Macaca mulatta: one gene and its partners. The protein of the gene in region 3 purifies or fractionates together with the protein of the main gene of each other region. This does not show direct contact. Links are inferred from orthologs where the notes say so. Each region holds a gene or a part of one and is shown on either strand. Other genes may lie near its edges.

Region 1 (4,096 bases), on a different chromosome or scaffold from region 3:
AGGGACCAGTAGCTTTTTACTCTATTGCTTCAGTCGATTTTATAAGTATTTTCTGAGTACCTTCTCTGGGGTATAAGTATACTAGGTTTGGGAGTACTAAAGACTAAATAAAACTTTAGACACCATCTCTTCCCTCAAGGTCACAACTGCTTTAAAAGAGGTCTGGATAAAGTGCCAAAGGAATTTTGGAAGATAAGCGAGCAATTAATTCTGCTGCCTGAGCAGATAAATGTGAAACAAGTACATATTGGGGGTGATTCTGTAAAGTATTAATAGCTGGGATGCCCAGCTCCATACTCTGAGGTTCTTTCTGCCACACTCTCTATAGGCCCAGCTCCAGCATCCAGATTCAAGACTCTAGGCAAGACTCACTGTAAAAAATCCATCGCCTGAGATCAGACCCCACAGGATAGAGAACAGCTATGGTATCGACATTGCTCCAGCCACATTCCTATCAGCAAATCAGAGAAGCCAAACTAGTCAGGTCAGCACTCACGGCCAGGGTAAGGATGAGTTAGTTACTCTATTACCAACAAGATTTTTTAACAAGTAGGAAACAAGTATTCTAGCCAACATTTTTTTAAACATCAAGCAAAAATCTCAAAACAATGTTCCTAATCACCCAGAAGAAGTTAAGCTTATGTGTTACCTCATCAACAACGCATAATTTATCACAATGTGTTGTCAACTACTTATGAAAAGGTTATACCAATTATGGGGAAATAATAATGAAAAGGTATAGGTCTTTGGGGTAGTAAACAAGAGCACTCAAAAACAATACTCTAATATAGTGTCATCAAAGCAGGGACTGTTAACTCTACACCATTTCATCACATACACTTGGAAATCCTATTTACCTTTTTCATTAACTCACTTCTGGTAGTAAATTGTGGCAGGTCTTCCACTTCAATCCCATCGGCCATTTCCATCACCTTGTCTAAAAGGTCTTTATTGTAACTGCACAATAAAAAGTAATAAGGTAAAAACCTCGGAAGAATTGTCATTGTGAATTAATAAGAAACTGCAGGTTGCTCAACCATAAAATCAACTCTCAGAGAACTGATCTGATACTGCAGGGCAAACCTATACATGTTCAGCACAAGGTTTTGAGATGGAGTCTTGCTGTATCCCCCAGGCTGGAGTGCAGTGGTGTGATCTTGGCTCACTGCCACCTCCACCTCCCAGGTTCAAGCAATTCTCCTGCCTCAGCCTCCTGAGTAGCTGGGATTACAGGCATGTGCCACCATGCCCGGCTAATTTTAGTATTTTTAGTAGAGACAGGGTTTCACCATGTTGGCCAGGCTGGTCTCGAACTCCTGACCTCAAGTGATCTTCCTGCCTCGGTCTCCCAAAGTGCTGGGATTACTGGCTTGAGACACTGCGCCTGGTCCTGTGAACACTTCTTGCTTGTAGATACAGAAGTGGACTTTATAAATACCAGTAGAGCAAATGTTTCAAGATTTAGAAGAACAGAGGCACTGTACATCTAACAACAGATATTCTCAGATACGGGATGAGGGCCAAAATATTTTTGTTTATTTTTTAAATACATGGAATGTCAGTCTAACAAAAACATTATTTATTTGCCCAATTCTCTGACATTCGCCTAACCATGGAAAACCAGGATTTCCCAGGAGCACCTAGAAGGCAGGGAAAAGGGACGGGTGCCTCTGGCATTGGTTCCCTACGTACTGTTCTAATAAACCCCAATATGTGAAGCAAAACCAAGTGGCTTAGGCCTGGAGGGGCCAAATGACCAGAGTCAGGCAACCATAATAGGTATAGAAACCAAGATCAAACCAAGTCACCCTATTTTCCTAACACAATTTCAGGAAAATGGAGGCTCTCTAACAGGGAGTCTCAAGATTTGCCACCTTCCTCATGGAGGGGTGAAGGGAATGCCTTATCAGGCACTTCAAAAGCGAGTCTTTGTCCTTTTGGTGCAGCAGCCAGGATGAAGTGGGCTTTGGGACCTTGACAAAAAGGCATCGGTCATTTTCATAAGAGGGAAAACAAAGAGGTAAAGCTGGTTCCTACTTAGGACCCAGTGGGCTGTGGAGTGAGGACAAAAAGGCACAGGATACAGATTACATCCTGTCATTAGTGGTTAAAATCCATCAAACCTGCCAGAAGCTGCATGGTCCTAGTTACATCACTTCCCTCCCTAAGCTTTTTCATCTGTAAAATGGGGATCTCCGTTTCTGTCTCTGCACTTTGCCATGTAGGTGACAGAGGCTAACGGACTTCGAATGCACACTGCAAAGGTGATGGTTTGAGCTAATAATGGTAGTAATACATATAACAATAGCAACTTTTGAACCCGCCATGTATTTAGCTCTTCACCCTTTAATTATTACAGTCATCATAACCACCCTTTTACCAGAAGAGAAAACTGAGGCTCAAAGATAAGGATCGTTCCAAGGGGCCTTCAGGGTGGGAATCAGTCTTCGGGCCGGGCAATGCGGATGGAGGTTGGGAGCGGGTTCAGTCTGGGGCAGAGGTTCGGGTCAGGGGTGAGCCCTGGAAGAGGGCTTGAGGGTCGGAAGAGAGGGGACAGGATCAGCCGGCCGGCAGGGGTCCGCACCTGCAGCCTAGGAAGAGATGGTTGGCCCAGACCATGGAGAGGGACAGCAGCTGGTCCAGGCGGCCACCGCCGTCGGGCGGGTCGCGGTAGTCGGGCAGGTGGCGCAAGATGAATTCCATGCGGGCCTTCCATTGCTTCTCGCTCTCTGAGTAGGAGCGGAACTGCTCCGCGAAGTCGGCCGCCTGCCGCACCCCCGAGACCAGCTCCTCCACTGCAGCTGCCGCCTCGCCACCGACCATGGTGCCCGCTGCAGCCGAAGACCGGATAGCCCGCCGCCTTCCCGTCGCGCACTGCGCCACCACCTGCCAGCCAGAGGGGCCCCGTCAGCGCACGACTGCTCCAGAAGACCAGCCTGGAGCGCCCTCGCCCGGAGCGGCGGCCTGCGGGGGCACAGAGCGGCTCCTGGCTCCTCAGACCGCCGCAGCCCGCGGCGCATGCCCTGGGTCTACCCAGGGCTGCAAGGGCCCTTCGCGGTCGACCCTGCTGGGAACCGGTGGGAAAACTGAGGTCCCTAAGCACAGAGTCGGAGCGCCCTCTTCCAGTTGGCAGCTGGATGCCAGTCAGAGCTATGCTGTATCTTTCTTGCCCTGGGAGTTTCCCAGGCACCGCCTCATCCTAAGGGATATCAGGGGGCCCGGGTCAGGGATAGATAGGTCCACTTCCAGGGGTCTCCACAGCCACGCAGGTTGGGGCCCGCCTTCCTGGAGCGAGTAATCCATCCATCCGGTGAATACTTGCCAGGCACATTGCTAGGTGCTGGAGAGGCAATGAGAGCACACTCGGAGCCCTGCTCGCCTGAACTTTACCATCGAGTGGAGGAGCAGACATTAGTGAACTAATTGCTCAAGTAAGTGGAGAATTTCAGCGTTGACAAGTACTAGTAAAGAGAAGTCCAGCGTGCTACAACCATGAATAAGCAAGGAAGGGACCCAATCTAGTCTTGGGGTCAGGGAAGTGATCCTGGAGAACTGAAGAATGAGCAATTTTCTGAGAAAAGGGGAGTCGGTCAGAGCAAGAAAGAGCATGGCCTGGTAAGAGAATTGCAAGATACGGGGTAGGAGGGGCTGGGGGGCAGGGCAGGTAGAGAATGGAGAAGATGAGGTTGCAGAGGTCAGCAAGGCCAGTAGGCCAGGCAGGGATCCTGGCTAGATCCCAAGAATGGGGAGCCACTGAAGGATTTTAACCAGAACAGTGACACCTGGGTTTACAAAAGATGCTGGAAGGAGTCAGAAAGAATGTGTCCAGAGGAAATGAGCAAGTTTGGATTTGGTTTTAAATAGAGACAGGGTTTCGCCATGTTGCCCAGGCTGAGTCTCGAACTCCTGAGCTCAAGTGATCTGTCTCAGCCTCCCAAAATGCTGGGATTACACGTGTGAGCCATCGCGACTGGCTAGTCCTGAAAGTTTCTATTTAGCTGGCATGACTCGGCTGTCTGTTCTAGGCTCAGGTAGCAGACACACTGAGAGACAAAAGAGCTTCCTTTAAAGTGGTGAATTCCCCATCCCTGGAAGC
Region 2 (4,188 bases), on a different chromosome or scaffold from region 3:
ACCCCCTCTAGATTTTCAGCAATTATCTGTGAAAAGGAGGAAGGAATAGCAAACTAGAAGCAAAATCATAAGCTTCAAAATTTCTTTGTGCCTCCGTTTTTATGCAGTTTCTTTTGGTATGGCAGGAAAATGGACAATATTGTTTTCATACAATAGCTGTATTTTGTTCCAGCATGCGCATAAATTACACAGTTAACCTTATCTGACCTTACCTAAAGCGACCTTTTTTGCTTGATTATTCTGATTCATGCATTTTTACATCAGTCTACATTTAGTGAAAGAAAAAATTCATAATTTATATCATTTAACGTATTAATCTTAAAAGTGCATGGATACCTGGAATGGAAAACGTAATAAGCAAGCTAGCAGTTAGAGTACTTAACTGTGGGAAACGTAAAGTGGAAAAAAATATATAGAAGGAAAATATAGCTCTAACAGGGAGAGGTTTGGGGCCCCATAAATAAATAGGCACATTTCCACTCCACCTCCGGACATCTGCCGGTTGGTGGTAAAGTTGCTGATTTTAGGAAATTCTAGAGACAGAACGTTGTCGGGGTGGTGGTGTGCTATTGACCAAAACAGGAAGGCAATGCCTGGATTAACTAGAGACCTAAGAAACTGCGGGAACAAGCGCAATCGCTGCGGGGCCAGGACTAGCTTCGAAGGCAGCAAGCCTCACAGCAACCCGGAGCCGGGTCCTCGTGTGACCTTGCTATGTAAGGAGACCGGCACCCTCATCCTCTTGACGGCGCCGAGACCCCGACGGCCTCGGAACGCTTCGCTCGGGCACACTGAAAGCAGCGCGAGACGCACTTCCCGACATTCTATAAACTTGGAGGCCGGCTTTTGTTTGTTTTGGCCCCGCTCACACACACACGCGTCTCAGAGCCGGGACCATAGGCCCCGCGGCTGCTGGCGGCTCAAGGTCCCCCGGGACGCCGCCCTGGAGGACTTTGCCCGCCGCGCCTGGCTGCCTCCCTTGCCGGGCCCTGCCCCTCTCGCCTCTGCTCCCGGCGCCGCAGCTGACCCGGCGCAGGAGGAGGGCGACAGCAGTGCGTGGCGTCACAAAGCGAGGCCAGAACGCCTGGGGTTCCGCCGCGACTCGGTCGTCCCGGGGCAGCCCGACTTGAAATCCGCCCTCACAGGGAGTGAGACGCCCGACGCCCGCTCGCCCCACCCTCGGGGTCCCCTCCGTGCCCTGACCTGGACGCAGCGTCGCGGCGGCCCCGGCGCCGCAAAGCGTCCTGGGAGCGCCGGCTCGCGTCGGAAGAACGCGAGGGCGCGCGGCGGCGGCGAGGTTATAAAAGGGAAGAAGCCGGCGGCGGGCGGAAGTGGGCGGTTCGGCTGCTCCGGGAGCTGTTGTTTGGTCTTTGGGCCTCTGGAGGGGCGTTATCTGGAGGGCCGCCGGTGCAGGCCGCAGTGACAGGGCTGCTCTCCCGGCGCTCCGTGCCAGTCTCCCGGTGCAGCTGTGCTCGCGGCCTCCGCGGCCTGCAGGCCCAACATGGCGCAGGAGGTGTCAGAGTACCTGAGCCAGAACCCGCGGGTGGCCGCCTGGGTGGAGGCGCTGCGCTGCGACGGCGAGACTGACAAACACTGGCGCCACCGCCGGGATTTTTTGCTCCGCAACGCCGGGGACCTGGCCCCCGCTGGCGGCGCTGCCTCCGCTAGCACGGATGAAGCTGCCGACACCGAGAGCGGGACCCGAAACCGGCAGCTGCAGCAGCTCATCTCCTTTTCCATGGCCTGGGCGAACCACGTCTTCCTCGGGTGCCGGTGAGTGAGGCAGCGTCCCTAACCAGCACGCCCCGTTTTGTCTGCCACCTGCAGACCGGCGCTCGGCGCCCTCCGCGGGACCGGCCTCGGCGGGGAGGGGAAGTTGTGAAGCGCGGGAATCTGCCGGCCCGGCTGCCCTCTAAGGGTGAGAAGGGTGTCGCTGCGAGGAGCCGACACGATTCCCGGACGTCTGTGTGCCCCGTGGTGTGGGGGGAGCTGCTGGTAGGGTTGCTGGTGTTAGGGGCAACGCTCTTGGGGACGGGTGCTAGATTTAAGGTTAGTGAGGAGGTGCCCTGCCTCGTAGACCCTGGGGCACTTGTTTATGGAGGTCCAGGAAACAGTTCTTGGCGGTTGGTACACTTTCTTGATTGCAGCCAGGAAATGCAGTTCCTGTGGCCTGTTTTTTGCAAAGCACAAATAGGACCTTAGAAAAAACACTTTTTTTAAAATGGCTTTTTCTTCTTTTTCAGATACCCTCAAAAAGTTATGGATAAAATACTTAGTATGGCTGAAGGCATCAAAGTGACAGATGCTCCAACCTATACAACAAGAGACGAACTGGTTGCCAAGGTGAAGAAAAGAGGGATATCGAGTAGCAATGGTTAGCAGATCATAGATGTGAACATACATAGGAGTTTAGAGCATAAGTTTGATATAATTAGGAATTATCATTATTAATTTTTTTAACAAGCCAGAATTTTTATGTTATCAATAAGTAATAAAGTTGGAATGTTAAACCTAAACTATGTATCTGTGTCTTTAGGCTTTGAATTTGATAGTTTGCTTTGACTGCTTTAGATTTTGAAGTGTCCACTGTTGTCTGATGCTGTTTTTTTTTTAAATATTAGACATTCATGATGTTATTCAACACTGTTTTAAGAAATTAATGACTCCACACTTTTTAAAGAAACGATTAGTCTTGAAATATTTTCACTTTGTGCCTTTATTTTAATGTGTATTTGTCTCACCCGTTTTATACGAGGTATTCTTAGTCATGTATCTATGTTTTTCTTCTTTTTAGAAGGGGTAGAAGAGCCATCCAAAAAACGAGTTATAGAAGGGAAAAACAGTTCTGCAGTTGAGCAAGATCATGCAAAAACTTCTGCCAAGACAGAACGTGCATCAGCTCAGCAGGAAAACAGTTCAGCGGGTACAGGGGCGGCCATCAAATCAGAGAGTGGGAACTCAGCTTGGAGCGCTGGCATCTCCAGTCAGAATAGCTCTACAAGTGATGGAGATCGATCTGTCTCCAGCCAAAGCAGCAGCAGCGTTTCCTCTCAGGTAACAACGGCAGGATCTGGGAAAGCTTCTGAAGCAGAAGCTCCAGATAAACACGGTTCTGCATCATTTGTTTCCTTGCTGAAATCCAGTGTGAATAGTCACATGACCCAATCCACTGATTCTAGACAACAAGGTGGATCACCTAAAAAGAGTGCTTTGGAAAGCTCTTCAGCCTCAGCTTCTCAAAGCAGCTCAGAGATCGAGGTGCCCTTGTTGGGCTCCTCAGGAAGCTCAGAAGTAGAATTGCCACTGTTGTCTTCCAAACCTAGTTCAGAGACAGTTTCAAGTGGGTTAACTTCCAAAACTAGTTCAGAGGCAAGTGTTTCATCATCAGTTGCTAAAAACAGTTCCTCATCAGGCACATCCTTACTGACCCCCAAGAGCAGCTCTTCAACAAATACATCGCTGCTAACTTCCAAAAGCACTTCCCAGGTGGCTGCGTCACTTCTAGCTTCCAAGAGCAGCTCCCAGACCAGTGGCTCACTGGTTTCCAAAAGCACTTCCTTAGCAAGTGTGTCCCAGTTGGCTTCTAAGAGTAGTTCTCAGACTAGCACCTCACAGCTGCCTTCTAAAAGTACTTCACAGTCAAGTGAGAGTGCTGTCAAATTCTCTTGCAAGTTAACCAATGAAGATGTGAAACAGAAGCAGCCTTTTTTCAATAGACTGTATAAAACGGTGGCATGGAAGTTGGTAGCTGTTGGTGGCTTTAGTCCCAATGTGAATCATGGAGAGCTTCTAAATGCAGCTATTGAGGCTCTGAAAGCAACACTGGATGTATTTTTTGTCCCACTAAAAGAATTAGCAGATCTGCCTCAAAATAAGAGCTCTCAAGAAAGTATTGTTTGTGAATTGAGGTGCAAGTCTGTGTATTTGGGCACTGGCTGTGGAAAAAGCAAAGAAAATGCAAAAGCAGTTGCATCAAGAGAAGCATTGAAGTTATTTCTCAAGAAAAAGGTGGTGGTAAAAATATGTAAAAGGAAATACAGAGGCAGTGAAATAGAAGATCTAGTACTCCTTGATGAAGAATCGAGGCCTGTAAACTTACCTCCAGCATTAAAACATCCTCAAGAATTACTATAATGTGTCCAAAATATCACTGCATACAATATCTGGTATTTGAAGAGAAAAACTGAC
Region 3 (3,561 bases):
ATTTGCCTCTGTTTATTCTTTATAGTGCCTTCCATAAAATGGAAGTTATGGAAAGTGCCTTAAGGGGAAAGTCTTAAATGGTGATTGCCTTTAGAAGGTATATATCCTTGCTACATTGTTTATGTGACAGTTTTTAATTAAGTTATGATTTAGTACATTATACCTTTTGCTTTGCATCTGCAAAGTTAAAATAGGCACTTGAAGACAATTAAAACATTTCTTTCGACTAGTAATCTGGGACAGCAAACTGGGTTATAATAGCCGTTGAATCTGTGTTCCCATGTAAACTGTACACCAAATGCCAGTCAGCCCATGCCAATTAGTGCTCATGTTGCTAGGTCACCGTGGTCAATTGAAAGCTGCATCAATAGAACTTGAAAAGGTTTCCTCCCAATCAGACCTTCTGACATATTGAACAGAATAATGGATGGGAAAAAACAGCCAAGTCTCCTACCCTGGATTCAAAATACTCAGCAGTAAGAATTCATTTGCAACCTGCAATTAAGTAGAAAGAATGGATCCAAGAACGAGTCTGGACATTTTTGAAAATAAAGCCTCATTCTCCTGTCGTGTACATGTTTACTATTTGGATAGCATCTTAAATGTAGCCAACTTGGTGATCTTGGGTCTACATCTTTAAGTGACTAAAAAGGAAATTTCCCAATTGAAAATGAACAAAATAATTTTTAAAAGTCAGAACTTCTCAGTTGAGTTTAAACATCCATTGTAATAAATGCTCATGCTTCATGAAACATGTTAGATTATACTGGATATAAGGGACACAAAGGCCATTCTGATACTCTGTATCCCATATGATAAATCCAGGTAAATTGGATTGTACTAAAATTTGGAGATGATACCTGCCACTTTTAGGCTTTGTGCTGTATAGTAGGCATGGCTTCTGATGTAAACCTGGTACTTTTCTACAGAGGCGTTGGGGCTGAACCTCTGCTCCCATGGAACCGGATGCTGCAAACCCAGAATGCAGCCTTCCAGCCAAACCAGTACCAGATGCTAGCTGGGCCTGGTGGGTATCCACCCAGACGAGATGATCGTGGAGGGAGACAGGTAAATGGGTTGTGGGATGAAAAGCATACTGCTCACTTTATATTTCAGCAAGGCTCACAGGACTCCATATTTTCTTACCAACATTTCTGGAGAAGACACTGATAGAGTATCTTGGCTGAACTTTGGTCTGTCATTAAAAATGTATATGGGTTGAGTACCTGCCTCACTAAATAGGTTATATACCTTGAAGATGCCAAAGAATTTCTAACCCAAAAGCCCTTTAAATCATAGCAGTCAGTGATAATTAGTCCAAATGTAGTCAGTCACCAAAACATTGTTTTTTCTTTAAGGATATTGTTCTTTAGTAGAACCTAGATCCCTCATAATGGGTGATTTTCTGGAAGCTGGAAAGTAAGTCTACTTTTTCAGCTGTTGTCTTTTAGAAGTCATTTTAAAATGTCATTTTAGAAGTCTCCTGTCTTGATTCATCTGATATCCCTCCTCATAAATCTCTGCTTGATAATCTTCCACATATTTTTCTTCTCAATGTAAGCAGCTGTATCACTGAATGTCATAATTCCTAGACAAATTTAGTATATGTAAGCTTCAGTTCTTTCTCTTTACAGCATCCAATTTTAGCAGCATTTAAGACTGAGGTCTGTTTGACATAATTTCCTCCAGCAATTTGACAGCCTGGCCAGTATTTACATGCTCTTAATGGAATCCTTACTAGAGAACAAGATTGGAATGCTATGATTCAGAGTGTAGTGTTTATGGAGTTTGGCACCTGCAGTGATGTGAAGTGGTTTTTAAATTGCTTACCTGGTGTTGCCTCCAGGCCTTCTGCAGTGCTTCACATATTAATTAGTAAGACCTCTCTTCTCACAGCTAAGGAACATATTTTGTATACTTTTTTGATGTATTCTTACAAGTATCTCCACCTTACAAGAAGATAATCACCTTAACTGCAAATAGTTAATGTCTTCTGAGAGGATTTTTTTACAGTTTATTTAAATCAGTTTATAGAATTTTGCTTTGAATTATTTCAAACCAGGACCCCTCAAAATCACATCAGTGAATTAAGGCTCTTTATGTTACTGTGGTTAGATGGCACTAGGCAGTTTCAGTGATGAGCATTTTTGAAGTGAGGACATATTTGTAACTGAAAGAAACTTGGAGAATGTATAGTCTAGTCACCTCATTTTCCAAGTCAGAAACTGAAACCCTAAAAACCCCACACAGTTGGGCGGGAGAGCTGGGGGCTGGCTGCCTAGACTGCTGACCCCAGTTCATCCATTTTCCTTCCTCCTTTGGAGATCTTCCTTTTAAAGGAACTCTCTGCTATTGTAGGAGATAAAATTCTTATTTACTTAAAAGATATAAACTAATTGGTAAATTTATTATTCTTTTAGGACTTTTTTAAAATAACATTTCTTCTTTCTCAGTCTCTTTTCCACGGAGATACTTTTTATTAAACCACAATGTTTGAAGCACTATTAAATTGCAGAAGTCTGTTGTTAAAAACATAAAATCATTACTTCATTGTATGTTTAGTGAAGTTTTATATGACCAAACAAGGCCTTAGCCTACATTCTGGCTTTGAGTCTGCACATGTTCATATTTAAAGTACTGAAGTGCTCTCTGGGTGGCAAAATGAGGTGGGAGGGGGTTCCATTTCAAAACCCTAGAGGCCTAGAAAAGGACTTACAGTGAAGAGGTGTCAGGTTTATCTTTTGTTATACAGAAATGTTATTTGCAAGCATTCTAGGATATGTTTGTTATAAAGGTCATTGCTAATGGATTGTGTAATAACCTTAATATATCATTTAATGTCCTACTTTTTGTTGCTAAATAAAAAAATCCCTAAAATCAATTTGGCCTTAACTGACTTAGCAAGCTCTTGCCTTGTTTAAAGCAAAGTTACTTTCCTTGTGTAATAAGTCTAAATTGATGTGGGTATCTTACAACAAAGTGACTTGAATTACTACTGCTAGGACGGTGGGAAAATTGAGAACCACTGTCTGTACATGTTGTTTACACAAAACACTTAACTCTAGTGCATTTGTGTGCATTTGTGATTGTTAAGGTTTTTTTTATTTTTTTTTATTTTTCAGTAATAGCATTTGTGCTAGCCTCCAACTTTGCAACAAGTTTGTGTTAAAGCTCTGGATCAAAGCACCTGTTTATGGGACCTTTCCATGTGCTGTACCTTTAACACATACTCAGTTTCTTTATGATGTATTTTTCCATAGAAGTGTAAAATTAACTGACTTGCAGGAGTATCAGTCCAGAAAATAAACTCTTTTCTTTTGTTTATTTTCAGGGATATCCCAGAGAAGGAAGGAAATACCCTTTGCCACCACCCTCAGGAAGATACAATTGGAATTAAGCTTTTGTAAAGCTTTCCCAAATCCTTTCATCATTCTACAGTTTTATGCTATTTGTGGAAAGATTTCTTTCTCAAGTAGTAGTTTTTAATAAAACTACAGTACTTTGTGTATTTCTTTTAACTGTGTATATTTCTACTGATCTGATCTCACTGTTTATGTTGCT

What was found.
Region 1: the proteins of XRN2 (region 3) and CDKN2AIPNL purify together in Homo sapiens (co-immunoprecipitation; 6 studies listed by BioGRID and IntAct, with this or other methods). This does not show direct contact. The link is inferred for Macaca mulatta from reciprocal best matches to the Homo sapiens genes XRN2 and CDKN2AIPNL.
Region 2: the proteins of XRN2 (region 3) and CDKN2AIP purify together in Homo sapiens (affinity purification with mass spectrometry; 4 studies listed by BioGRID and IntAct, with this or other methods). This does not show direct contact. The link is inferred for Macaca mulatta from reciprocal best matches to the Homo sapiens genes XRN2 and CDKN2AIP.

Annotation. Positions count from the first base shown.
Region 1 is NC_133411.1:143,328,312-143,332,407, forward strand, and holds the start of CDKN2AIPNL (CDKN2AIP N-terminal-like protein), read right to left. Parts: upstream 2,851-4,096; 5' UTR 2,824-2,850; coding exon 2,585-2,823; intron 958-2,584; coding exon 858-957; intron 452-857; coding exon 373-451; intron 1-372.
Region 2 is NC_133410.1:191,890,367-191,894,554, forward strand, and holds the start of CDKN2AIP (CDKN2A-interacting protein), read left to right. Parts: upstream 1-1,338; 5' UTR 1,339-1,501; coding exon 1,502-1,773; intron 1,774-2,243; coding exon 2,244-2,374; intron 2,375-2,794; coding exon 2,795-4,134; 3' UTR 4,135-4,188. UniProt on the Homo sapiens protein: Regulates DNA damage response in a dose-dependent manner through a number of signaling pathways involved in cell proliferation, apoptosis and senescence.
Region 3 is NC_133415.1:62,665,355-62,668,915, reverse strand, and holds part of XRN2 (5'-3' exoribonuclease 2), read left to right. Parts: intron 1-929; coding exon 930-1,068; intron 1,069-3,331; coding exon 3,332-3,397; 3' UTR 3,398-3,561. UniProt on the Homo sapiens protein: Possesses 5'->3' exoribonuclease activity. May promote the termination of transcription by RNA polymerase II.